Ovis aries: one gene and its partners. The protein of the gene in region 5 purifies or fractionates together with the protein of the main gene of each other region. This does not show direct contact. Links are inferred from orthologs where the notes say so. Each region holds a gene or a part of one and is shown on either strand. Other genes may lie near its edges. The genes, in order: RECQL4, PKN2, CEP290, MARK4, PNMA2 and TRIM33.

Evidence for each region.
Region 1: the proteins of PNMA2 (region 5) and RECQL4 purify together in Homo sapiens (affinity purification with mass spectrometry; 3 studies listed by BioGRID and IntAct, with this or other methods). This does not show direct contact. The link is inferred for Ovis aries from reciprocal best matches to the Homo sapiens genes PNMA2 and RECQL4.
Region 2: the proteins of PNMA2 (region 5) and PKN2 purify together in Homo sapiens (affinity purification with mass spectrometry; 3 studies listed by BioGRID and IntAct, with this or other methods). This does not show direct contact. The link is inferred for Ovis aries from reciprocal best matches to the Homo sapiens genes PNMA2 and PKN2.
Region 3: the proteins of PNMA2 (region 5) and CEP290 purify together in Homo sapiens (co-immunoprecipitation; 3 studies listed by BioGRID and IntAct, with this or other methods). This does not show direct contact. The link is inferred for Ovis aries from reciprocal best matches to the Homo sapiens genes PNMA2 and CEP290.
Region 4: the proteins of PNMA2 (region 5) and MARK4 purify together in Homo sapiens (co-immunoprecipitation; 3 studies listed by BioGRID and IntAct, with this or other methods). This does not show direct contact. The link is inferred for Ovis aries from reciprocal best matches to the Homo sapiens genes PNMA2 and MARK4.
Region 6: the proteins of PNMA2 (region 5) and TRIM33 purify together in Homo sapiens (affinity purification with mass spectrometry; 3 studies listed by BioGRID and IntAct, with this or other methods). This does not show direct contact. The link is inferred for Ovis aries from reciprocal best matches to the Homo sapiens genes PNMA2 and TRIM33.

What each region holds. Positions count from the first base shown.
Region 1 is NC_056062.1:13,390,578-13,394,877, reverse strand, and holds the start of RECQL4 (ATP-dependent DNA helicase Q4), read right to left. Parts: upstream 2,801-4,300; 5' UTR 2,786-2,800; coding exon 2,702-2,785; exon of another isoform or gene 2,638-2,701; coding exon 2,604-2,637; exon of another isoform or gene 2,481-2,603; coding exon 2,380-2,480; exon of another isoform or gene 2,145-2,379; coding exon 2,004-2,144; exon of another isoform or gene 1,701-2,003; coding exon 1,099-1,700; exon of another isoform or gene 1,007-1,098; coding exon 910-1,006; exon of another isoform or gene 833-909; coding exon 706-832; exon of another isoform or gene 598-705; coding exon 487-597; exon of another isoform or gene 389-486; coding exon 257-388; exon of another isoform or gene 174-256; coding exon 81-173; exon of another isoform or gene 5-80; coding exon 1-4. UniProt on the Homo sapiens protein: An ATP-dependent DNA helicase which unwinds dsDNA with a 3'-overhang in a 3'-5' direction. Does not unwind more than 18 bp of dsDNA. May modulate chromosome segregation. The N-terminal domain (residues 1-54) binds DNA Y-shaped DNA better than ss- or dsDNA.
Region 2 is NC_056054.1:66,045,717-66,049,216, forward strand, and holds part of PKN2 (serine/threonine-protein kinase N2), read left to right. Parts: intron 1-100; coding exon 101-221; intron 222-2,278; coding exon 2,279-2,409; intron 2,410-2,490; coding exon 2,491-2,566; intron 2,567-2,644; coding exon 2,645-2,736; intron 2,737-3,500. UniProt on the Homo sapiens protein: PKC-related serine/threonine-protein kinase and Rho/Rac effector protein that participates in specific signal transduction responses in the cell.
Region 3 is NC_056056.1:124,377,701-124,381,200, forward strand, and holds part of CEP290 (centrosomal protein of 290 kDa), read right to left. Parts: intron 2,375-3,500; coding exon 2,108-2,374; intron 1,539-2,107; coding exon 1,431-1,538; intron 793-1,430; coding exon 593-792; intron 1-592. UniProt on the Homo sapiens protein: Involved in early and late steps in cilia formation. Its association with CCP110 is required for inhibition of primary cilia formation by CCP110.
Region 4 is NC_056067.1:52,725,755-52,729,254, forward strand, and holds part of MARK4 (MAP/microtubule affinity-regulating kinase 4), read left to right. Parts: intron 1-1,366; coding exon 1,367-1,476; intron 1,477-1,583; coding exon 1,584-1,743; intron 1,744-3,500. UniProt on the Homo sapiens protein: Serine/threonine-protein kinase. Phosphorylates the microtubule-associated protein MAPT/TAU. Also phosphorylates the microtubule-associated proteins MAP2 and MAP4.
Region 5 is NC_056055.1:39,174,498-39,177,104, reverse strand, and holds part of PNMA2 (paraneoplastic antigen Ma2), read right to left. Parts: intron 2,348-2,607; 5' UTR 2,219-2,347; exon of another isoform or gene 1,941-2,218; 5' UTR 1,529-1,940; coding exon 434-1,528; 3' UTR 1-433.
Region 6 is NC_056054.1:91,878,335-91,882,630, reverse strand, and holds the start of TRIM33 (E3 ubiquitin-protein ligase TRIM33), read left to right. Parts: upstream 1-1,496; 5' UTR 1,497-1,616; coding exon 1,617-2,142; intron 2,143-3,619; exon of another isoform or gene 3,620-3,692; intron 3,693-4,296. UniProt on the Homo sapiens protein: Acts as an E3 ubiquitin-protein ligase. Promotes SMAD4 ubiquitination, nuclear exclusion and degradation via the ubiquitin proteasome pathway. According to PubMed:16751102, does not promote a decrease in the level of endogenous SMAD4.

The DNA of each region.
Region 1 (4,300 bases), on a different chromosome or scaffold from region 5:
ATACCTGGTGTGATCTAGAGTCAAGGCAGCCGTCTTGCAGCCTGGCCTCAGCCCCACCACGCTCCTGCCCGCCAGCTCACCAGACAGGATCCGCATGATCACAGGCTCCTGCCCGGGGTAGAAGGCGTGGTGCCCCAGTTGCTCCAGGGCCTGAAACACCTCAGCCGGCGTGTCTGTGGACACAGGTGTCAGTCAGCTTGGCTCTGAGTCATCCTAACCCTTCCGTCCAGGCCTGGGCTGTTAGGCATCTGCTGACCTGCCACCTGACCCGAGGGCCCCGGTGGGTAGAGTGGAGGCACGGAAAGAGGTGGACAGGGCATCCTGGACACAGATGGCCCCGTGGGCACCAACAGCTCAGGTGCCCCAGGCTCAGCGTCTTCTTCACCTGCTGAGAACAGATGAACAGCATAGGAGCCCTGGACTGGTCTGGCGTCATAGTACCAAGAAAGCAACTTGCTACAGCCTCTCCTTAACCTCTTCACTCACCAGAGAGTTGGCAGCAGGCTGCACCTGTCCTCAGGGATGCTTCCTGTAATGTGGGCTGGGTCTGTGCACCATCCACCTTGACATCCTCCTTCTGAGGTGCCAGGAGAGGTTCTGGACCAGAAGCAGGGAGTCAGTAGGGCCTTTGCCTGAGCCAGAATTGCCTCTCCAAAGAGCACAACACCCCTGTAAGTAGGCTGGCGTCCAGGGCAGAGGCCTCACCGGGCTGAGAGCATCGGGACGCCCAGTGGCTGAGCTGCCCATGCTGGGAGCAAGAATCCTGAGCTGGACCTCTGGGCTGACCACCCCCAAAACACTCCTCTTTTTTCTGCCACTTCTGCTTCCATGCCTGGTTGGGGACACAAAGAAGGGTCACAGGGCAAGCAGCAGGACAGGTGGGGGGAGAACTCGGTACCACCTCCTCACCTGCTTGCGAAGGAGCCTGCCCCGCAGGGCCCGGCCCCGCACATAGCGTCGCTGCTTCATGTTGAGCCGCACATAGTTCCCCCTGTCCTGGACAGATCTGGAAGAAATGCACATGTCGGCAGTGCCCACAGCCCTCCCTACACTGGCTCAACTGAGAGCAGCCCTGCTGGGAGGTTAGAGCAGTGATACCTGGAGGCTGGGGTCCTGCCTGGGGGCTGTGTCTTCACAGGCTGCTCTGTACAGTCTTCTGCAGGCCCTGCAGCCCCAGCTCCCTCAGGCATGGGTCCTGCTTGGTCGGTGCCCTGCTGGGTCTGTGCAAGGCTTCCCTCCAGCTCCCCACTCTGTCTCCGCTTCTTGCCTTGACGGTCACCAGGCTGACACTTCCCTGCACTGACACCAGCTGCTGGTAGGGCTGGAGCCTCTGGGCCCTGCAAAGGTACCTCAGGACCAGCGCTGAGGCTAAGGACAGATGCAACAGCTGGAGTCAGAAGCTGTGAATCCTCCGCACCCAGGCCAGGCTGGCAGGTCCTGGAAACCTCCAGAAAATCTGGGGTCCTGTTGTGACACCGCTGCAGCCACTCAGGGTCGAGGGAGCTCAGTCGCAGGCTCAGGGATGCCCTCAGCTGCTGGAGCCGGCCTGGCCTCAGCTGGGGCCTGGGAGGCTGAGGGAGCACCTGATTGACATTTTCTGGAGAGATGGGGGCAGCTGCTGCGCCTGGTGGCTCCGGTGAAGGGATCTTGGAGGAGGATCTTTGTGCAAGCCGGGGTATCCGGCCCAGGGTTGACCTAGCCTGGGAGGGAGACAAGCAAGCAGGAACTCAGGCCCTTGGGGTGCCACAGACTCATTCGTGCTGGAGGCCCATCTGTAACAGCTGGGTAAGGTGAGAGGCAAAAGGTTGGAACATAAAGGAAGCTGAGGGTAGAGGCTGATCTGGAGCTCCTCTGCGGAGCTGTGCTGGCTGTGTGTGCACAGGTGAGCATGTGACTACCTGTAGGACACTCGACAGGGATGGGTATGTGGTAATTCTGGCTGGGGTCACCTGCAGCTCTGGACCCAGGCTGGATGCACTGTTTACTGGGCCTTCATCCCTCACCTGCAGACTGCCCTTTAAGTTGGCCTTAAGCCTCTTCCCATAGTCCTGCGCAGACTCCTGAGGGCTCCACCTTGAGGGAGGATGGGGACTCTGGGTCGCAGCCCGATTCAAGTGGTTCCCCCAGCAACTGGGTTCCAACATCTGCAGGAGACAGTAGAGACCTAAACCACGGAGAAGCTGGTGTGTGAGGGGGAACAGAGATGTCTCCACCCCCGAGAAACCCAAGGAGGGGCTGTCCTTCCTCCACGCTCTCACACTTCCCCCTCTGCCCCCCGCTCCCGCCGAGCTCTGTGCCCCACAGAAGTTGGGTCACGACTCCTCCCGGCTCCGGCACACAGGATGTTGACCCAGAGGTTGCGATGTCGAGCCCAGGTACCTGCTCGGCAGCGGCGGGAAGCGATTGCCCCGAGCTGTGAGGCTCGACGCCGCCGGCCTGGCCCAGTGCTTTCTTCAGGGAGCGGTACTCTCGGTACAGCGCTGAGAGCGGGGTCGGGGGATCGGAGTTGAGGAGTCAGGATTCCCCTGGAAGGGGGCGTGGAGGCCTCCCGCCCCCGGCCCACAGCCTTGGCCACTCCCTCCGTCCCGCGCCCGCGGGCTCACCGCGGGTCTCCTCGGGCGCCGCTTCCACGTCTTCCTGTAAAGGGAACGCGTCAGGCGGATGCCGTGCCCTCAGCTCCCCGCCCACGGGCAGTCCGCACCTTGCTCGGCCGCCGCCCGCTCTGCCGCCGAAACGCGCGCTCCCACGCCTGCAGCCGCTCCCGCACGTCCCGCAGCCGCTCCATGGTCGCCGGAAGCTTGGCGCCCCGCGAATCTCCCGCCTAGAGGGCGATGCCGGCCGCCAGCCAATGGGGACGCTCGGCAGCGTTGGAGGCGTAACACCCTGGGCTGGGGCAGCCAATCTACGGGGCCCTGCTGCAGCAGCCAATGAGGTGCGTTTACGTCATCGCGGCGCGCGACGGCGCAGACGGAGCGCGACGTACAGCGAGGCGGGGCCGGCGGCGGTGGCGGCTGCTTGGGTCCGGGTGAGCGCGGGCTGCCTTCTGGGGACCGAGCACTGCGGCTTGTGGCTCCTTCTCTGCCTGGTCGCACAAGGAGCGTGCGGACACTCGGGGCGGCGCCGCACCGGAGGCGGGGGCGGGGGCGGAAACCCGGGCGGGGCAGCTGAGGGAAGGGGAAGACCCGAGTCGGGTGCCGGGCTGATCGGCCTCGGGTCTTGGGGGACGATGCTCCGTCTTCTAGAGGCAGGCCCCGCCGGAGAGACGGAGGGCGTCGAACTGACGGGCTCCCGCCCTGAAGGCCCGGAGGAGCCGTGCGGGGGCGTCTTCAGGGAAACGCTGGAGTCGTGGGCCGGTGAGAGGGGGCGGTGGCCACCACGCTGAGACTCCTCCCATAGTGACCACACTGGCTGCTTTCCTTTTCTCTCGTGACAGGTGCTCGGTTGGTCTGTCCTCACAGCGAGGTATGAATCGTCCTCGCGAGATTTATCCTCAGGGAGAGAGAGACCGAGGGTTGACGTCCCGGGCTTCTCAGGAACCAGCGCCCTAAGGACTTGTGTATGAGGTCCGCAAGAGCTGGGGCTCTGGGGCCAGGCTGCCACCCTTCCCAAGCTCGTTACCCGGGAACTTTGTCTGGCAAGGCCTAGGTCTTAGTTTCCTAACATTTTCAGGGAAGTGGCTTGGAGGCAGTTTTGAGGATGAGGTGCCTGGCACACAGTAAGTCAGCAGCAGAGCTGTCACGCAGGTACCTTGTGGCCTCAGGCATCTCTTTTGTGCTCCTTGTCAGCTTGGATATACCTTTGACAGCTGCCTCTACCTATCTCAAGAAAGGCCCCTAGTTTGGGGTCTTTGAATCCCATGGGTTTGATACTTGTCCTCTTAACGTGATTCTCCAGGGAAGAGAGACATTTACACAGATGCCAAGGACACCGATGGGTGAGGCATTCTTTCTCTCTGTAAATCTCCAGGGGTCTCCATGTCTAACAGTGCTCCTGGAAGATAGTAGTTAGTACATGTTGAGTGTTTGGGTTACTCTAGCTCTTCAGACTCAGAGTTCACTGGATTCTGGTCCGTTCCACTTGTCCTACTATTTATTAAACTGTATCTATAGTTTCAACTTCTCTTTGCTGTGCTGTGCAGAATCCAAGGGCAGCCTGCAAGAGCTTGTGAGGCGGCTGAGAGAGGGTGCTATGATGTACCTTCCAGCCCCTGGGATTATCTCATCCCTCTAGTGCTTGGCCAGGGGTGGGAGGGTGGCGGGTGGGGGTTGGCTTTTTAAGAAGGGGAGGATCTCTTGATAAG
Region 2 (3,500 bases), on a different chromosome or scaffold from region 5:
TCCTTTTAAAAACAAAAAAATTGTTTGCTTTAATTTTAAAGCTATTTAAAATGTATACTTTTGATTACTGCTTTTGGTGAATTGCTTTATCTTTTATAAGTGATTCCACAGTAACCAAGTTGGACTTTGATCTTGAACCTGAGCCTCCTCGAGCCCCACCACGTGATTCTTCCCTTGGTGAAATAGATGAATCTGCAAGAGATTTGGATACACCAGGACAGGTAAGGCATTTTAAACCTTGTATAATTCCTTTCCACCAAATAAATTACCAGTTATAGCATCATGGTAATTTATCAGCCGTAGCATCATTGGGCTTCCCTTGTGGCTCAGATGGAAAAGAATCTGCCTGCAATGTGGGAGACTGGGATTGGATCCCTGGGTAAGGAAGATTCCCTGGAGGAGGACATGGCAACCCACTGCAGTATTCTTGCCTGGAGAATCCTCATGGACAGAGGAGCCTGCCGGACTACATGGGGTTGCAGAGTCAGACACAACTGAGCAACTAACACTATAGCATCATAATGAATGAGATGCACTTTTAAGTTGTTTCTTGTGAGTGAAACATAAAAACCTCTGGATGCCCATGAGCCACTAGAGATGGAATAGGTTGCTTATTCTAGGAGCCTGGGAGTATGGCTGGTATTAGATGAAGTATTTCCTGACACTGTGCATCTTCTAACTAGGTTAACATGATACCTGAAAATGCATATAAAATTAAAGTAATGTATTCATTTTTTAATTGAAATATGATTGATTTACAACACTGTTTCACGTATACAGCATAGTGATTCAGGATTTTTTTCAGATTCTATTTCATTATTTCTTTCTAGAAGATAATGATTATAATTCCCTGTGCCATATAATATATCCTATTATCTATTTTATTTATAGAAGTTTGTATCTAGTAATCCTATACCCTTAGTTTGTCCCTCTCCTATTCCTTCTCCCCCTGGTAACCACAACTTTGTTTTCTAAATCTATAAGTCTATTTCTGTTTTGTAAATACGTTCATTTATATGATTTTTTAGATTTCACATATGTGGTATATACCATTTCTTCCTCTGTCTGACTTACTTACCTAAGGGTAATATTCTCTAGGTCTATCCATATTGCTATAGAGGGCATTATTTCATTCTTTTTGTGGGCAGAGATTAATTTTCCATTGTATATCCATATACCACATTTTAAAACAATTTTATTGAAGTGTAGTTGATATACAGTGTTGTGCTTAATTTCTTCTGTAGAGCAGAGTGACTCAGTTATACATATATTTTTTCCATTACAATTATCACAGGATATTGAATATAATTTCTTATGCTTTATAGTAGGACCTTGCTGTTTATCCATCCTGTATATAGTAGTTTGTGTCTGCTAATCCCACATTCCCAATCCTTTCCTCCCCCAAACCCCATCACCGTTGACAACCACAAATCTGTTCTCTATATTTCTTGAGTGCTTTGTTTTGTAGATGTGTTCATTTGTGTCATATTGTAGATTCCACATATAAATGATATCATGTGGTACTTGTCTTTCTCTTTCTGGCTTAATTCCTTTGGCATGATAATCTCTAGGTCCATCTGTGTTAGTGCAGATGGCATTATTTCATTCTTTTTTAATGGCTGAGGAATTCCATTGTGTGTCTGTGTATGTATACACACACACACACACACACACACACACAATGTTCTTTATCCATTCATCTATCAGTGGACATTTAGGTTGTTTCCATGCCTTCGCTATTGTAAATAGTGCTGTAAGAACATAGGGGTGCGTGTATCTTTTTGAATTAGAAATTTGTCTCAGTATATGCCCAGGAGTGGGATTGCTGGATTATAGGGCAACTGTATTTTTAGTTTTTTGAGGAATCTCTGTACTGTTTTCTATAGTGGCTGCACCAATTTACATTCCTACCAACAGTGTAAGAGGATACCCTTTCATGTGCCCATTGGCCATCTGTCTGTACCGCATCTTCTTAAACCAATGGTCTGTTGGTGGACACTTTGGTTGATTGGTTCCATGAAACTAGCTATTGTAGATAGTGCTACTGTGTACATTGGAGCTCCTGTATCTTTTCAAATTAGTGTTTTTATTATTCATTTTTTACATTTTAAAGATGAGAGTAATATATAATTAATGACCATAAAAATGAATATCTAATAATAACATCTGAATTTTATTTTCTCATTCATATTTATATTGACAACATTTTTTCTCTATTCTTACCTAATAAGTTGTTTTCTGAATGTTTCTGATTTAATGAGCGTTTAATATTTTACAGGATTCAGAAACTGTTTTTGATACTGAGAATGACAGAAATAGAATACTTCCAAAATCTCAATCTGAATATGAGCCTGATATCCCTCAGTCAGGCCTAGAGTATAGTGGTATTCATGAACTTGAGGACAGAAGGTAAAGAATATATCCACAGCTTTACTTACATGTTTGGTCCCATACTTTTGCCTTATTTTTAATTGGCATTACTGTTTTCAGATCTCAACAAATGTTTCAATTCAATCTACAAGACTTCAGGTGTTGTGCTGTCTTGGGTAGAGGACATTTTGGAAAGGTAATCTTTTAAATTTTCTTTCTTTGTAGGCATGAGTAATCATTCAAATGAGAAATAATTACTTTAATCTAATTTTAGGTGCTTTTGGCTGAATATAAACACACAAATGAAATGTTTGCAATAAAAGCCTTAAAGAAAGGAGACATTGTGGCACGAGATGAAGTAGACAGGTTAGTTTTTTGAAAATGAAATTGTTACACTTTTCTAAAGTTATAACTTAAGAAAATTGATGTATTCAGTATATATGGAAATGATAAAATTATCTCTTTTAATAATACAGTTGATTGTTGAATAACATGGTCTTCAACTACTTGGGTTCACTTAATATGGATATTTTTCATTTAGTAAATGCTATAATATTACATAGTTTGTTGTTGGTGAATTCATAGATGTGGAAGAACTGCAGATACAGAGGGCTGAATGTAAATTATGCACGATTAACCCCCATGTTGTTCAGGGGTCAGCTGTAATAAGTAAAGAAACTAAATTAATGCATGAGGTGGGTATTGATTAAATATTATTTTTCTTTCTAGCTAATTCCCTCTTCCCATTCTTATGACATTTTACTGCTTGGTGAATACCAAAAAAAGTTGATGAAATCTTTAAACTAATTCTTATATTAAGTTTTTATACTTGGAAATGTTGAAATGTTTGTATGAATTAGGAACTATTACACATCTGTGGTTGCGTGAGGCTATTTTGCATTTCATACTACAGAAGTAATAAGATGTCATTTACAAGTAATCTTCAGTTAAGTGGTTAATTCCTTCTGCTTTTTAAAATACACCTATATCTATTTTTTGCTCTATTTCTCTTAAAATGGTAGCTTTTGACCACAGCATCTTTCCTTTCTGTGTGTAAATTGGTATGGATTCATCTTTATATATGATTATTAAAATGTAAGGACTTTGGGGATAATATTGTGATTAGGTTA
Region 3 (3,500 bases), on a different chromosome or scaffold from region 5:
TGCCAAAAACTGTTGTTGCTGCTGCTGCTGCTGCTGCTAAGTCGCTTCAGTCGTGTCCGACTCTGTCCGACTCTATGGAGAGCAGCCCACCAGGTTCCTCTGTCCACGGGATTCTCTAGGCAAAAATACTGGAGTGGGGCCACAAACTATTACAGGTATATAAATAAAAGTTTTGTATTTATGTTACTTTACAATTTTCAAACTACTTCCATATATAGCATCATTTGGCCTTCATATAACCACCTTGAAAGAGCCAGAGTAAGGACTGTCATTTTCCTTTACAGATAATAAAAAGGAAAATTTCAAAGGTTAAAGATGAGATTCTACACAAGAATCTTTTGAGTCAGACTGACTAGATTCAAATCATGGCTTTCTCATCTTCTCCTAGGCATGTTACTAACACGTTCTGTAGCTTAGCTTCCTATCTGCAAAATGGAGTGACTATCCCATATCATCAGTAGTACTGAGGATAAAATGAGACAATATAGGCAATATTTTTAGACCAGTGCATGATATAACAAATGCTTACATTTATATTTATTATATCATTATTCCCATTTTCCTATATTTACAATATATTTCTAAGACTTACCGTAATTTCATATTTTCAAATTCTTTGATTTTTAATTCAGTGATTTCTTTTTGTCTCTCTAAATCTTGAGATACTTGTTTTAGTTTGATCACAAGTGAGGAGAGAGAGTCATCTTGTTCTGCTACTGTCTGTTCCATTTCAGCCAAACGAATAAAATGCTTGTTGGTAGGAACTGGAGTGGGAGACTGTTTTATTAAATCCTATGAAATATCATTATATTAGCCATGAGCAGGTACAATGCAATGCCATACTTATCTCATAATTTTAACTTGGTTCCTTAAATGATCAAAACAATTTCAAATCTAAAATGTAATGAAGGCAATGAAGGCTTAGAGAAGACAGGAAATAGGGATCTTATTCTTTGTATTCCCAGCATCTGGCAAAGTACCTACATGTAGGGAAGGATCAATAAATAAATATTGATTGAATTAATGAGTTAAAGTTTGAGGAAGGTAAGGTTTGCATGTTAGGAGAAGAAAGGTCATTTTGCACATACAGAATACAATGACCAAGAGGCAAGAATTATCAGAACATAGAAAGCAGTTAGATACAGGTAAATTAATAATGTATAGATTTGAAAAGACAGACAGAGGTCAGAGGAAGAAATATAAACATGATTTTCTAGGCAGCAGTAAGCTATAACAAATCTAGGCCTAGGGAAAAAAATGATCAGGGCCGTGTTTTCAGATTATTCTGGCAAAAAAAAAAAAAAAAAAAAGTAGGATGGCTTCCAATCCCCTCTCCCTGAAAACAGAGCTAAATTTTCAACTGTATGGTCTGAAAAATCAATAAAGAATAGAACAAAGTTCCTAGACTCTTACCCAAACTGTAATCTTACCCAAGCTGTTTCTTTGAATTTACTGAGTGAATTATCAGCCTGCAGTTCTAATTTACGATGAAGAATATGAAGTTCTTCTTCATGTTTCTTAACAATTTCTCTTTGTTCCTGTTTTATAACAAATGAAAACTATAGCTTACATTGTGACTCATATAAATTTACATTCTAAAAGTCTTAAATATTTTATCTTTAATATACTAAAATCCTTATGAGAGGGAAGGAACAACATGTGCATACATTTCCCTAGCACATGTTCAAACTGACAAGCCTAGCCTTAGAGTATAACTTATTCTTAATATTAGAATACTATGGATTTATTATCTTTTAACTTGTTTCTAGCAATTTTTAAATTTTAGATTTTTTTTACCCCTTAAAGTTCTGGCAAATTTGATTTTCACTGATACCAGTGTGATGGATTTCATTCTAACTTACTGCCTCAATCTTTACCTATTAACTTGAAATCAGTTTCACCATGAACGCCATTACTGGTTTACTCAGTCAATAACACAAACTGCCAGTTTTACTGACACATCTGTAATCCAATCACGTGAAAGTAACAATACCTGAATTGAATCATTTGAAAACAAGAAATGAAACACCACTTAAGGGCAGAATAGTACTTGGCATTTGTCTAAAAAACACCATAATAAATAAGACAGCATAACATAACCAAATACCTCTCTGGCTTTTTCTAGCAGATGTTGATACTTCTTCAACACTTCTTCCTTTTGATTTAACCTTGCTTGCATATTTGCAATGGTCTGGTGAGCAAGTTTCAACGTGTGATGAGATTTTGGTTCCACCTCTTTTCTGCTGAACTCAGCTATAAGCTTTTCTTGTTCTGCAGTGGCAGGCAATCGAAGCCTCAGTTCATTGATCACTTTGTCTCTTGACAGAATATTCTCCTCTGCTAACCGTAAAGCAGATTCTTTTTCTCTTAGTTTCTGTAATGATAAATCATTAAAAAAAATACTTTTTTTTTCTTTTAAATGCTTCATCTGAATTTTAGTCAGACTGGTGGTGGTGGTTTAGTCACTAACTCGCGTCCAATTTTTGCTACCCCATGGACTGTAGCCTGCCGGGCTCCTCTGTCCATGAGATTCTCCAGGCAGGAATATTGGAGTGGGTTGCCATCTCCTTCTCCAGGGGATCTTCCCAATGCTGGAATCGAACCCGGGTCTCCTGCACTGCAGGTAGATTCTTTACCAACTGAGCTACAAGAGAAGCACACTAATAGCCAAATGCTACTTTCAGTTCAGTTCAGTCACTCAGTCATGTCTGACTCTGCGACCCAATGGACTGCAGCACACCAGATCTCCCTGTCCAACTCTCAGAATTTACTCAAACTCATGTCCATTGAGTCGGTGATGCCATCCAACTATCTTATCCTCTGTCATCCCCTTCTCCTCCTGCCTTCAATCTTTCCCAGCATCAAATGAGTCAGCTGTTCGCATCAGGTGGCCAAAGTGTTGGAGTTTCAGCTTCAACATCAGTTCTTCCAAAGAACACCAGGTCTGATCTCCTTTAGGATGGACTGGATGGACTCCTTGCAGTCCAAGGGACTCTCAAGAGTCTTAATAAGGTTAAACTGTATTTCTATGTGATAGCAGTTATCTACATGCATATTTTATTTATAAGATTATTATATATGTTAGAAACTTCATTGTTAATGATGAAAATGAAATTTAGTTACAATACTTTATTTAGATCTTATAGTTTTAGAAATAGGAATGTGGGTGGTGATAGATCTATAAAGAAAATGTACTGAATCATTTCTTTTATTTTGATTCATTGACTCATTAGAGCATCAGAAGAGTAACCCATAGAAGTCAACAAAGTATAAAAGCTGGAATTTTAGTGGTCTGAGTCAATGGATCTCCATTGTAAAATGTGCAGCTTCTCAAAACAAAACAGAAAATAGTATATATTCCTCAACGGAATTAAGCAAATACTCAAAAATCAAATAGCTCAGTGGCAATTCACATAAATGACAAATTTACAATATAGAAGACAATTTAAGTTTCTTTGGTTGATTTAAAAATGCACAATTTAAAAAATTATTTTAAATGT
Region 4 (3,500 bases), on a different chromosome or scaffold from region 5:
CCTGGGGCCAGCAGAGAAGTCTGGGCTCTGGTCCCTGCCCTGCTCCTTTCTAGCTGTGTGACCCTGGGCCAGTGGCTTCCCCTCTCTGTGCCTCTGTTTCCTTGTCTATAAAGTGAGATAATCATAGAACCTGTCCTATAGGTTTGTTATGAATAGTAAATGAATGAGTTTATATAAAGCACTTACACTGGGCATGAAACAAGTGCTTTTGTGTCATAATAGACATGTGATAAGTTCTGTTGTCTTAGCGAGGAAAGTCGCTCAGTCGTGTCCGACTCTTTGCGACCCCATGGACTGTAGCCTACCAGGCTTCTCAGTCCGTGGGGTTTTCCAGGCAAGAGTACTGGAGTGGGTTGCCATTTCCTTCTCCAGGCTTTGACTGTTAACACATAAGAACTCACAGGTGACTTCTGGAAGAGTTTGGACAGAGGCATCAGTCATCTGCATGCTTGAGAAAAACTCCCACCTTGGCACCTGCCTCACTCACCACCCCTTCAGGCCCAGTCCCTTCAGCCCAGAGCCCTTGAACACTTGGCCCTAAAGCATTAGCCTTGGAAGAGCCCCTTAGGAACCATCTAGGAAACCCTCACTCTGCAGCTGATGAAGTTGCAGCCACCATCAGATCTGGCTGTATTAATCAGGACTTCACAGTTGCAGGTAACAGAAAACCTAAGCCATTCTGGCTTCAACCAGAAAATAATAATTGGTTGATCCATATGAAATCACCATTTTCATAGCTCAGAAATGATCAGTATAAGCAATTTCATGTAGTTTAACCTAATAGTGATGTTATTTCATTCACATAACTGAAAAGGCCATGATATGTCAGCTTTCAGGCACAGCTGGATCCAGGTGCTCAGAGACAGTTGTTAGGAATCTTCTCGGTGGTGACTTCTTTCCCAGGCAGCTCTCCCTGCAGGAGCAAACTGACAACAGCATGTCCTAGTGGCCTGGACACCTCAGTGGGAAGAACAGCTACTTTCCTAATGTTCCAGTGGAAGCTGTAGGGTGGGACCCATTGGCTACCCCTGAAGCAGTCAGTTTGACCTTGGGAATGGAACACTCTTATTGGCCAGAAGTGGTTCATATGCCCACCCTGAACCAATCAGTGTGGCCTTGGGGATGGAACACTCTGATTGGTCACACCTGAGTAATATGCCTGCCCCTGGGGTTTGGAGCAGGCAGGAGTCAGCTGGGGAATCTGAGCAGAGAAAAAATATTCTTCCAAGGAAAATCAGGGTGCTGCTGGCAGGAGGGGGAATGATTACTGGACAGGCCAAAGTGCAGACATTACTGTGTGATGCAGAAAAGAGTGGAAGGGAAGGATCTGGGGAGACTGAACCTCCTCTCCATCCCCCTCTCCCAGAGGTGATGGTGGGTATGGGCTACACGCGGGAAGAAATCAAAGAGGCCTTGACCAGCCAGAAGTACAACGAAGTGACTGCCACCTACCTCCTGCTGGGCAGGAAGACTGAGGTCAGAAGGCGTCAGGGACATTCGGGATGCGCGATACCCGGGGTGGAGGGAGACCTCTGGGACAGAGGGGAAGGGGCTGAGGTTCCTTGTCTGTCATCTTCCTGCAGGAGGGTGGGGACCGGGGTGCCCCGGGGCTGGCCTTGGCACGGGTGCGGGCGCCCAGCGACACCACCAATGGAACAAGCTCCAGCAAAGGCACCAGCCACAGCAAAGGGCAGCGGAGTTCCTCCTCCACCTACCACCGCCAGCGCAGGCATAGCGACTTCTGTGAGTACTGCCCCAACCCTTGGACGTGCCGTCCCGGCCCAAGGCCGCAGACCTGCATTATGTCAGGGTTCCCTGGCTGGCAAGCAGCAGAAACCGGCTCGAACCAACTGCAACGAAGGGAGAAACATCTTATAAAGCTGCAGGGACGTTGCATGGAATGTGGAGGCAGCCAGGCTCAGGAAGGGATTAGAAACTGGAAAAGCAGCCAACCCTAGAACAGACACTCTGTGACTTGCTTCTTCTTTGTTCATCTGGTTCTTCCTTTCTTTTTTTCATATCCTGCCTTACCTTTTCCAGTCTCTTAACTTCTTACAACTCAGTTTTAGGGGCCAGCTCAATAGTAACTGAAATCCCTTTGATCCACTTGATATCAGGGTCCAGTCGGGATTAATCCACTTGACTGGGACACAGGAGGACACATTGTACAAAAATGCTGCTGAAAGCCTGCCCTCTTGCCTCTCTTCCAAACTTACTAGTGGGAAGGGGCTGGGGAGACAGCTGCTTGCATCCTACATTCTTCAACTAACAGATATCTCATTTCCTGCAGGAAATAGACCCACGACCACTGCCACCATAAATGAGACATGGGAACTTGCAAGAGGTCTCTATCTATACCCTCATCTTAATCATCTTTGCTATATTTTTTAACAGCTTTATTGAGAAATAATTCACATACTATGCAGTTCACCAATTTAAAATATACAATTAAGTGGCCTTAGTACGTTCACAGATGTGTGCATCCTTCACCACAGTCCACGTTAGAACATGGTCAGTACCCTGGAAAGAGACTCTACAACCCTTAGCCATCTACTTCGAATCTCCCATCCACCCTAGCGCCCCCCCCCCAACAACTACTAATCTACTCTCTCTATAGATTTCCCTATTCTGGACCTTTCTTATAATTAGAATCATGCAATCTGTGGCCTTTTGTGACTACCTTCTTTCACTAAGCATGTTTTCAAGATTCATCCATATCATAGCATATATCAATACTCCACTTTTTTATTGCCAAATAATATTCCATCACGTGGATATGCCATATTTTGTGTATGTATCACCAGTGGGGGGTCATTTGGGTTTTCACCTTTGGCTGTTATGAGTAACTCTCTGTGTGGGTCTTTGTTTTCATTTCTCTTGGGTGTGTACCTAAGGGTGGAATCGCTGGGTCATATGGTAACTCTATGTTTAATAGTTAAATAACTGCCAAGGTGATTTCCAACTTTCCGTTATTTTTGCATCCCTACTTCTCCTGGGGGTGAAGTGCCTTACTCTGGGACAGGCACTAGTACGGGAAGAAGGAAGTCTGGGAAGCTTAGTCTTGAGCAGGGAGTATCCTGGATGGTCAAACCATTCCCCTTCCCTGGGTTTCCTTTTCCCCACCTATACAATAGCGAGATTGGCCCAGAAAGGCCCTGAGAAGCTTGTGATTCTAACAACCTATGATTAGGACATGTTAACCTTTAAAAATAACCCCCATGGAGACCCCCTGGGTTCCAGGGTTCACGGGATGAAAGATGGTCGACGGGCGCCCCGGGTGTGTCACTGTAGAGCTTGCTATGGTTCTGGGGCTTTTGAGCATTTAAGGTTTCTGAATTTTAACACTCAGAAGTTCCAAGTCTCTGAAGTTCTAGAACACCCTTAACCCCTGGGTTCTAAAACCATAAATTTTGAAGATGTTCTAAGGGACCAGATTTGTTTTGTTTTTGAAATTGATAGTCACATCCTTCAAAACTCAGTACAGAAAGCGTAGACAGTAA
Region 5 (2,607 bases):
TCACAGGGTTGATCCCTGGATCAGGAAGATCCCCTGAAGGAGGGCATGGCAACCCACTTCACTATTCTTACCTGGAGAATCCCATGAACAGAGGAGCCTGGTGGGCTATAGTCCATTAGGTCAGGATTGCATAGAATCAGACACAACTGAAGAGACTTAGCAATTCTTGCCCAAGGGACTTCCCTGGCCACTCAGAGGTTAAGGCTCCACTTTCACTGCAGGACATATGGGTTCAATCCCTGGTTGGGGGACTAAGATCCCACATACCCCACGATGCAGCCAAAAAGATGAAAGAAAAACAAAATAAAACCTGGCTTGAATGCTTTGATTTCAACTGTGCAAATTATAGAGAAAAAAAGACTGAAAAGGTCTTAGCCTAATAACGTGGCTGTCCCTCCACCCACCGTCTGTGGGTCACCCTTGGAGTTGGGTTTTAGTCATTGGCCTCGTTACCCCAGTGGCCATAGCCATCCCCTCCCTCCGGCTCTTCAGTATTCTCATTTTCAAAAGCGGCCTCTTCCTCCTCTTCTTCCCGGATGACCTTCATTAACTGCAGGAAGCTGGGAGGCCGGCCCTGGTCTTTCAGCTCCCTAAGCCGACACCAGAGTACCTCACTGAGGCTTGCCCCGGCCATGACCTGCTCCAGGCGGATTTGATCGGCGATGTTCCTGGGGATCGCCCGCTTCTCCACCGCTCTCCGCAGCAGGGTTTCTAACCGTAACACGTAGGCTGAGACTTTCTCTCCTTCCTCTTGATAGGTTTTCAGGTACTTCACCTGGGAGGTCCGGCGGCTCTCCAGGTTCCCAAACACTTGCTTAAATGCTTCCAAACACTCCTCCACGCTGATGGATGGATTGTCTGCCTGGACTATGTGCATGAGGTCCAGGGCTGGCCCGCGAAGGCTTTCCATCAACCATCTCTTCTTTTCTGCCTCTGCTACTGGCCACTCTTTGACTATCTCAGTGGCCTGTTCCAACCAGACTTCAAAGGGCTCTTCCTCGGGGGCAGGCACGGCGCTCCCTGAGAACACTCTCAGCTTCCGGTACCTCATGGGGAGCAGAGGCTGAGGGGCATGTGCTACCACCTGTCCCAACACATGGGCCAGTAACTCTGGTGAGATGCAGGGCACGGCTGCTGGAGACAGCCCCTGGTGCCCAAGTGCCCGGAACATTCCTGAGACCGTCTGTCCCTCTTTTTCTAGAAAGAGGTTCAGTCTTTCCAGAAATTCCGTGTCCTGGTTAGGGGTCTTGAAGATGACTTTCCAGACACCTCCCTTGCCCTGAACCTCGCTGGGAATCACAGAGACCTCAGGGTCCTCAAGCAACTCTAACAGCACCGCGTTGGCATTTTCCTGCTTCCGGAATATTTTGCCAAGGAGTCTATACCTGCCCAAAGGCTTTAAAGTCTCCTGCAGGACCTCCTGAATCTCATCCTCGCTGCAGTCCACTGGGATCCCCATAACCATCAGTGATTTCTGATCATCCACACTCAGAATCCTACACCAGTCCTCCAACAGGGCCAGCGCCATTGCCGGATACTGACTGGCTGGAACTCTATGGCTACTGATTAGCTTATGGGACAGACTGGCGCTGACTTCAAACTGAGAAAATCCCAGATGAGCTTCTAGACTTATAACCCACTAGTTAACAGGTCCTGGACCAATCACCCTTGCTGCTCAGTGGCAAGAACCTGGCCTTTTCCGTGAGGTCTCCAGACCTGCCCCAGGTTGTATCTCAGTTATGAGGGGACCATGGCCAGAGGCTCTGCAGTCTCGTTGAGGAGCGGGGGTGGGGACCTGCCCCACAGGAAGCACGTGGCAGTTCCTTTCACCCCTCTCTGGGTCTCTGCCGCCTCACCTCTCTCTAGCCAGTGGGGAGATGCCTCCACTCTGGCAGCCAGAACTCTTGGAGGGAAGTTTCCCAGCAGAGTGGCTTGGGCTCCTAGGGAAACAAGGCTCAGTTTTATCACACAGCCCTCTCCTTTCTGGGAAGCATGGGTACCTGGTGAGGGATGGAAGCGGGAGAGGGGAACAGGGAGACTGCCTTACGTTATAGTTGAGTCATCGCTCTTCTTTGCTTACAGTGACTTTTTACTCTTCGGGACCCTCCTGCAATCAGGCTTCCCCTCAGGCATGCCAGTTAATGGAGCTCCAGTGATGGACAGGACTCAAGATCTTTCCCACATGAAAAGTGAAATCGGGAGGCTGTTTGTTAGGTACCTGTTTGTTCCAGAATGTTCTGTGACAGCCAAGGCGCTTATGTATTCAGCTTCTAGTACAAGAAGATGTCACCCACTCAGCACAGTGGTGTGTCTGGGTGTCTCTCCACTTCAGCCAAGCCAAGCTGCCCTGTATAAATATAATAAATAGTGTATTTTTATGATGATAATATCCAGTGTCCCTGGAGGAGGAAATGGCAACTCACTCTAGTATTCTTGCCTGGGAAATCCCATGGACAAAGGACCCTGGCAGGTTACAGTCCCTGGGGAAGCAGAGTCAGACTTGACTTATAGACTCAACAATGACAATACCCAGTGTGAAGACTGTTGATACACTTATTCAAAAATACAGCAATTCTTGGAAATTTTCTGGTGGTCCAGTGGTTGAGA
Region 6 (4,296 bases), on a different chromosome or scaffold from region 5:
TTACACTCTTGATGAAAATTTTTAGGATCATCTTAAATTGTTTGAGGTGAGAAAGCAGTTTTTCAAAGTTCTTTTCCAAAACACAAAAGTTTAGCAAGTTGAAGGCCATCTCTGTATGTGACCGGCTCCTTCAATTCTTTAATCTCCTCTTCAACTTCTCTTTGCCTCTGTCAAGTCACTCCAGTCACACAGACTGTAACAAGCCAAGAATATGGTCTACCTCAGGCCCTTTGTACTTACTGCTTTTTCTGATTAGAACACTCTTCTGCAAGAGAACCAAAGCTTGATCAACATAGGACTTCCCCAATCACTTCTAATCTGAATTCTTTTTTCCCCTTCATAGCTTTTGTCATTCCCTGCATATATTTACATCACTCTTCCCCCAGACTGCAAACTCCTTGAAAGTCAAGGGTCTCCTTTGTTCCCTGCTGCAATCCTAGCATCTATAAAACATTACCTGTCACGTAGTAAGAGGTCACTGTTTTGAACGAATAAATGAAAAATGTTTCGAGGTGGCTTATTGTAAGGACTTATACCAACCAGCTCAAGAATATTTCTTGGGAACACTGTCTGAAGAGGAAAGTACTTCACGATCTGAACATTAAAACAGCCATAGTACTTGTTTCCCAAATAAAGACAAACCTTCCTGAAAGCTGCTATTAACTACACTTGTTAGGGTATTTGCGACTCAACTCACGCCCGGACACTAAGTGGGACTCTGAAGACATAATATTGGTCAGAGCGTGACTTCTCAAACTGACGCCCATCAGTCAGTCAAAGCGCTTTCAACATTCATCAGCTCTCCCCCACTTCCTGATGCAGATCTGGGGTGTGGTCCTGGCACATCTCCGCTCTGAAAAAGCCTCTCAGTCGATTGGTTTTCTGATGCGTAGCAACGGCAGAGAAACAATCACCTTAAGAAGCTAAAAATAGCGGTTAAAGAGTTTTTTTTTTCTTCACTGAGTTTTTTCAGCCTATTTCTGGTAAGCCGCCAGTTAAAAACAAAAATCCTCCCTTTACTGCTCCCGAGAGATACAATCATCCAAAGGAACGCGGCTAATTAAAGCACAGAGACCCAGGAAGCCTGGGAGTCTAACCCCGCGCGGAGGGAGGTTTCCGCGGAGATGCGCCCGCCCTGGGACCCGCACCACCCGAGTCGCTCGCTCTACAGGAAAGAGCCCCGGCCTTCCACCCTTTCCCACTCTTCCCCGTATAGTGGCCGCGTCCGAGTTCTTCCACTCGCGACTAAAGGTAGTTTAGCCTCAACAGTCTCAGGCTTTAAAAGCTCACTGCAAACGGAACTGCAGCGGGACGGAATCTTACGTGCGGGCCCTAGAGGTCGGGAGGGGCAACCTGGACGGCTGCGCGCCCGCGCCCGGAGTTCCCGCCTCCCTCCGGAGGACGTCCGTGCGTACGTGCGCGCGCCGCGCCCGCCTTCCAGCAACCGCGCGACGCCAGGCTGGGGGTGCCGCGTGCGCGCGCGCTCTCGTTCGTTCGTTCTCTAGCCTGCTCGTTCTCGGCGGCCGCTCTCGCTGCGGCTGCGGCTGGGGCTGGGGGCGGCGGCGGCGGCGGCGGCGGGCGGCGCGGGGCGGTCCGGCGGGTTCAAAGAGGAAAACATGGCGGAAAACAAAGGCGGCGGCGAGGCTGAGAGCGGCGGCGGGGGCAGCAGTAGCGCGCCGGTAACTGCCGGAGCCGCCGGGCTCGCGGCGCAGGAGGCGGAGCCGCCTCTCGCGGCGGTGCTGGTGGAGGAGGAGGAGGAGGAAGGCGGCAGGGCCGGCGCGGAGAGCGGCGCGGCCGGGCCCGACGACGGGGGGGTGGCCGCGGCCTCCTCGGGCTCGGCCCCGGCTGCCTCAGCCCCTGCAGCCTCAATGGGCCCTGGAGTTCCCGGGGGGGCGGTATCGACGCCAGCCCCAGCTCCGGCCTCGGCTCCTGCTCCGGGTCCCTCGGCGGGGCCGCCTCCAGGACCGCCAGCCTCGCTCCTGGACACCTGCGCCGTGTGTCAGCAGAGCCTGCAGAGCCGGCGTGAGGCGGAGCCCAAGCTGTTGCCCTGTCTTCACTCCTTCTGCCTGCGATGCCTGCCTGAGCCCGAGCGCCAACTCAACGTGCCCATCCCGGGGGGCAGCAACGGCGACATCCAGCAAGGTGAGCGGGAGGCCCGGCCCGAGGTCTGGGCCAAAGGGGGTTTGCTGTGCCGAGGAGGATCTGGGGTCCTCTGAGAGTACTCGGGTTCGGGGCTGCTCGGACCGGCGTGATCCTGAAGAGTCTCAGAGGTGAAAGACACGGCTCCTGGGACAGTTTTCAGAGAAGCTGAACCTCCAGAGAGACGGGGAGGGTGAAGGGAGGGGAGAGAGAGAGGCTGGGGGAGGGGACGCCGGCTGCAGGGGAGGTTCGTGGTGTGCAGATACGGGCCGGGAAGGCGTGGACTCTGGCCGAGCGTAGGTTCGGGAGCTGATGGAACGGATTGTGAGCGAAGAAGGGGTCTGGGAATCCGCCTGTGAGAAGCGTTTTTAAGGGAGGGCCCAGCCCCGAGAGGTGTTGAGGAGGGAGTAGGTAAGAGATAAGGGCAGTGAGGATGAATTGCCTTGGGGGGAGACTTGTTCTAAGCTAGGGGAAAGAAGGACTGGGAAGGTTAAAGGACTGGGAAGGTTAAAGGGCATTGGCGAATTTGGGACTAAGAAAAGGCGTCTGGTAGAAAGTAACTTTAGGATGACATTGAGAAGAAGGAACTCTGGAAACAAAATCGCTGTGAGGGGCCTGTATGGCCAGGGAAAAAACCTTAGGTTTAGGGGTAAAGGAGAACTGAGCTTTGAAGGGAATTAGGTGTTAGGGAGAGTTGGGATGAATTTATATTCTTTGACATTAATGGACCCTTAGTGTTTCGGATACCGTGCTGCGATTGGATAAAATACGCAGTGAGGAGCCGGTTCACTGCCCAGCATAGGGGAAACAGACGTATGAGATACAGCAGTGGACGGTGGATACAGTGGTTGTGGCACAGTCAAGAGAAGGTCAGGAAAACTTTACTGAAAAGCAGTCCTTGAGTAGGTTTCTTGAAGGGTGAGTAGGTCACTGAGTTGTAGAGTTTTCAGAACACAGGGCACCTTATACATTCCTGGGACGGGATCAGGTCATCACTGGAAATTAAGTTGGTTTGATGGGCTGAGTAGGTAAGAAGTCACAATCCCTTACCTGAAGCTCTTGGGACCAGGTGTGTTTTAGAGGTCAGAATATTTTGAAAAAATTTTCTTTTTCCTCTGAGGTCTTCAATACTCCAGCAGGGTCTGGGTTAACAATTCATTATTAAGTATTAATGTTTCTGTAGTGAGGCATATGAATATCACTAATGGGATAGAGAAATAATCCCCTACAATTCAGGGTGGGTTTTGTTGCAGACTCATGAAAAAAACTAAAATTTCAAAGCTTTTGAAGTTTGGGGCTTAAGGTAAGGGATTGTGGCCCTGTGCTAAAGGGTTTTGGATTCGTCCTGTAGACTGTATCCTGGTACATTGTAGATAGACTAAAGGGAGTCCCTCACAGACTTTTTAAAAAATATCTATCTATCCTGCAAGGGTCTTCCTTGAAGCATGTGGGGTCTTTAGTTGTGGCATGTCGGATCTAGTTCCCTGACCAGGGATTGAACCTGGGCCTCCTGCATTGAGAGTGCCATGTCTTAGCCACTGGACCACCAGGGAAGTCACCTCACAGACGTTTGTATTAGGGTAAAAGGATGACATTTGTGATCTATAAAGATTGCTTGGGGGCACATCGAAAGGTAAGGGAAGAAAAAACCTGAGGCAGGACTAGTTAGGAAAATTCTGGCAGTAATCTAAGAGAGAAATTAGCTGGTAAAGAACTGTTAGGTGTTGAAGAAGGAAATGTTTTGTTATGGGGGAAAGGTATGGACTTCTGGAGAAAACGTTTTTCTTGGATGCCTACTTGGTCACTTCTTGCTTGTGAGTTGGACAGATTAATTTTACAAGGACAAAAATTATCTACCTGATAAAGTTATTGATAGAATAAAGTGACTTAACAAAGTGACTAGTACATGGTGCTAGTACATGTAACAAAGTGACTAGTACATGGTAGTTATTAGTGAAATGGCAGCTAGGTTATCATTGATGGTAACTGATTGTAAGTAGTGCTGAGAATGGAGATGAGGCGCCAGTTGAGATTGGTGTGAGAGAGACACAGGTGTCTAGGCCAAGTTCCAGGTTTCTTGTTTGGTGGGTGGCAGTGCTGTTAATGCAAAATCAGATAATTCAGGCACAGAAACAGGTTGTGTGTGTGTGTGTTGTG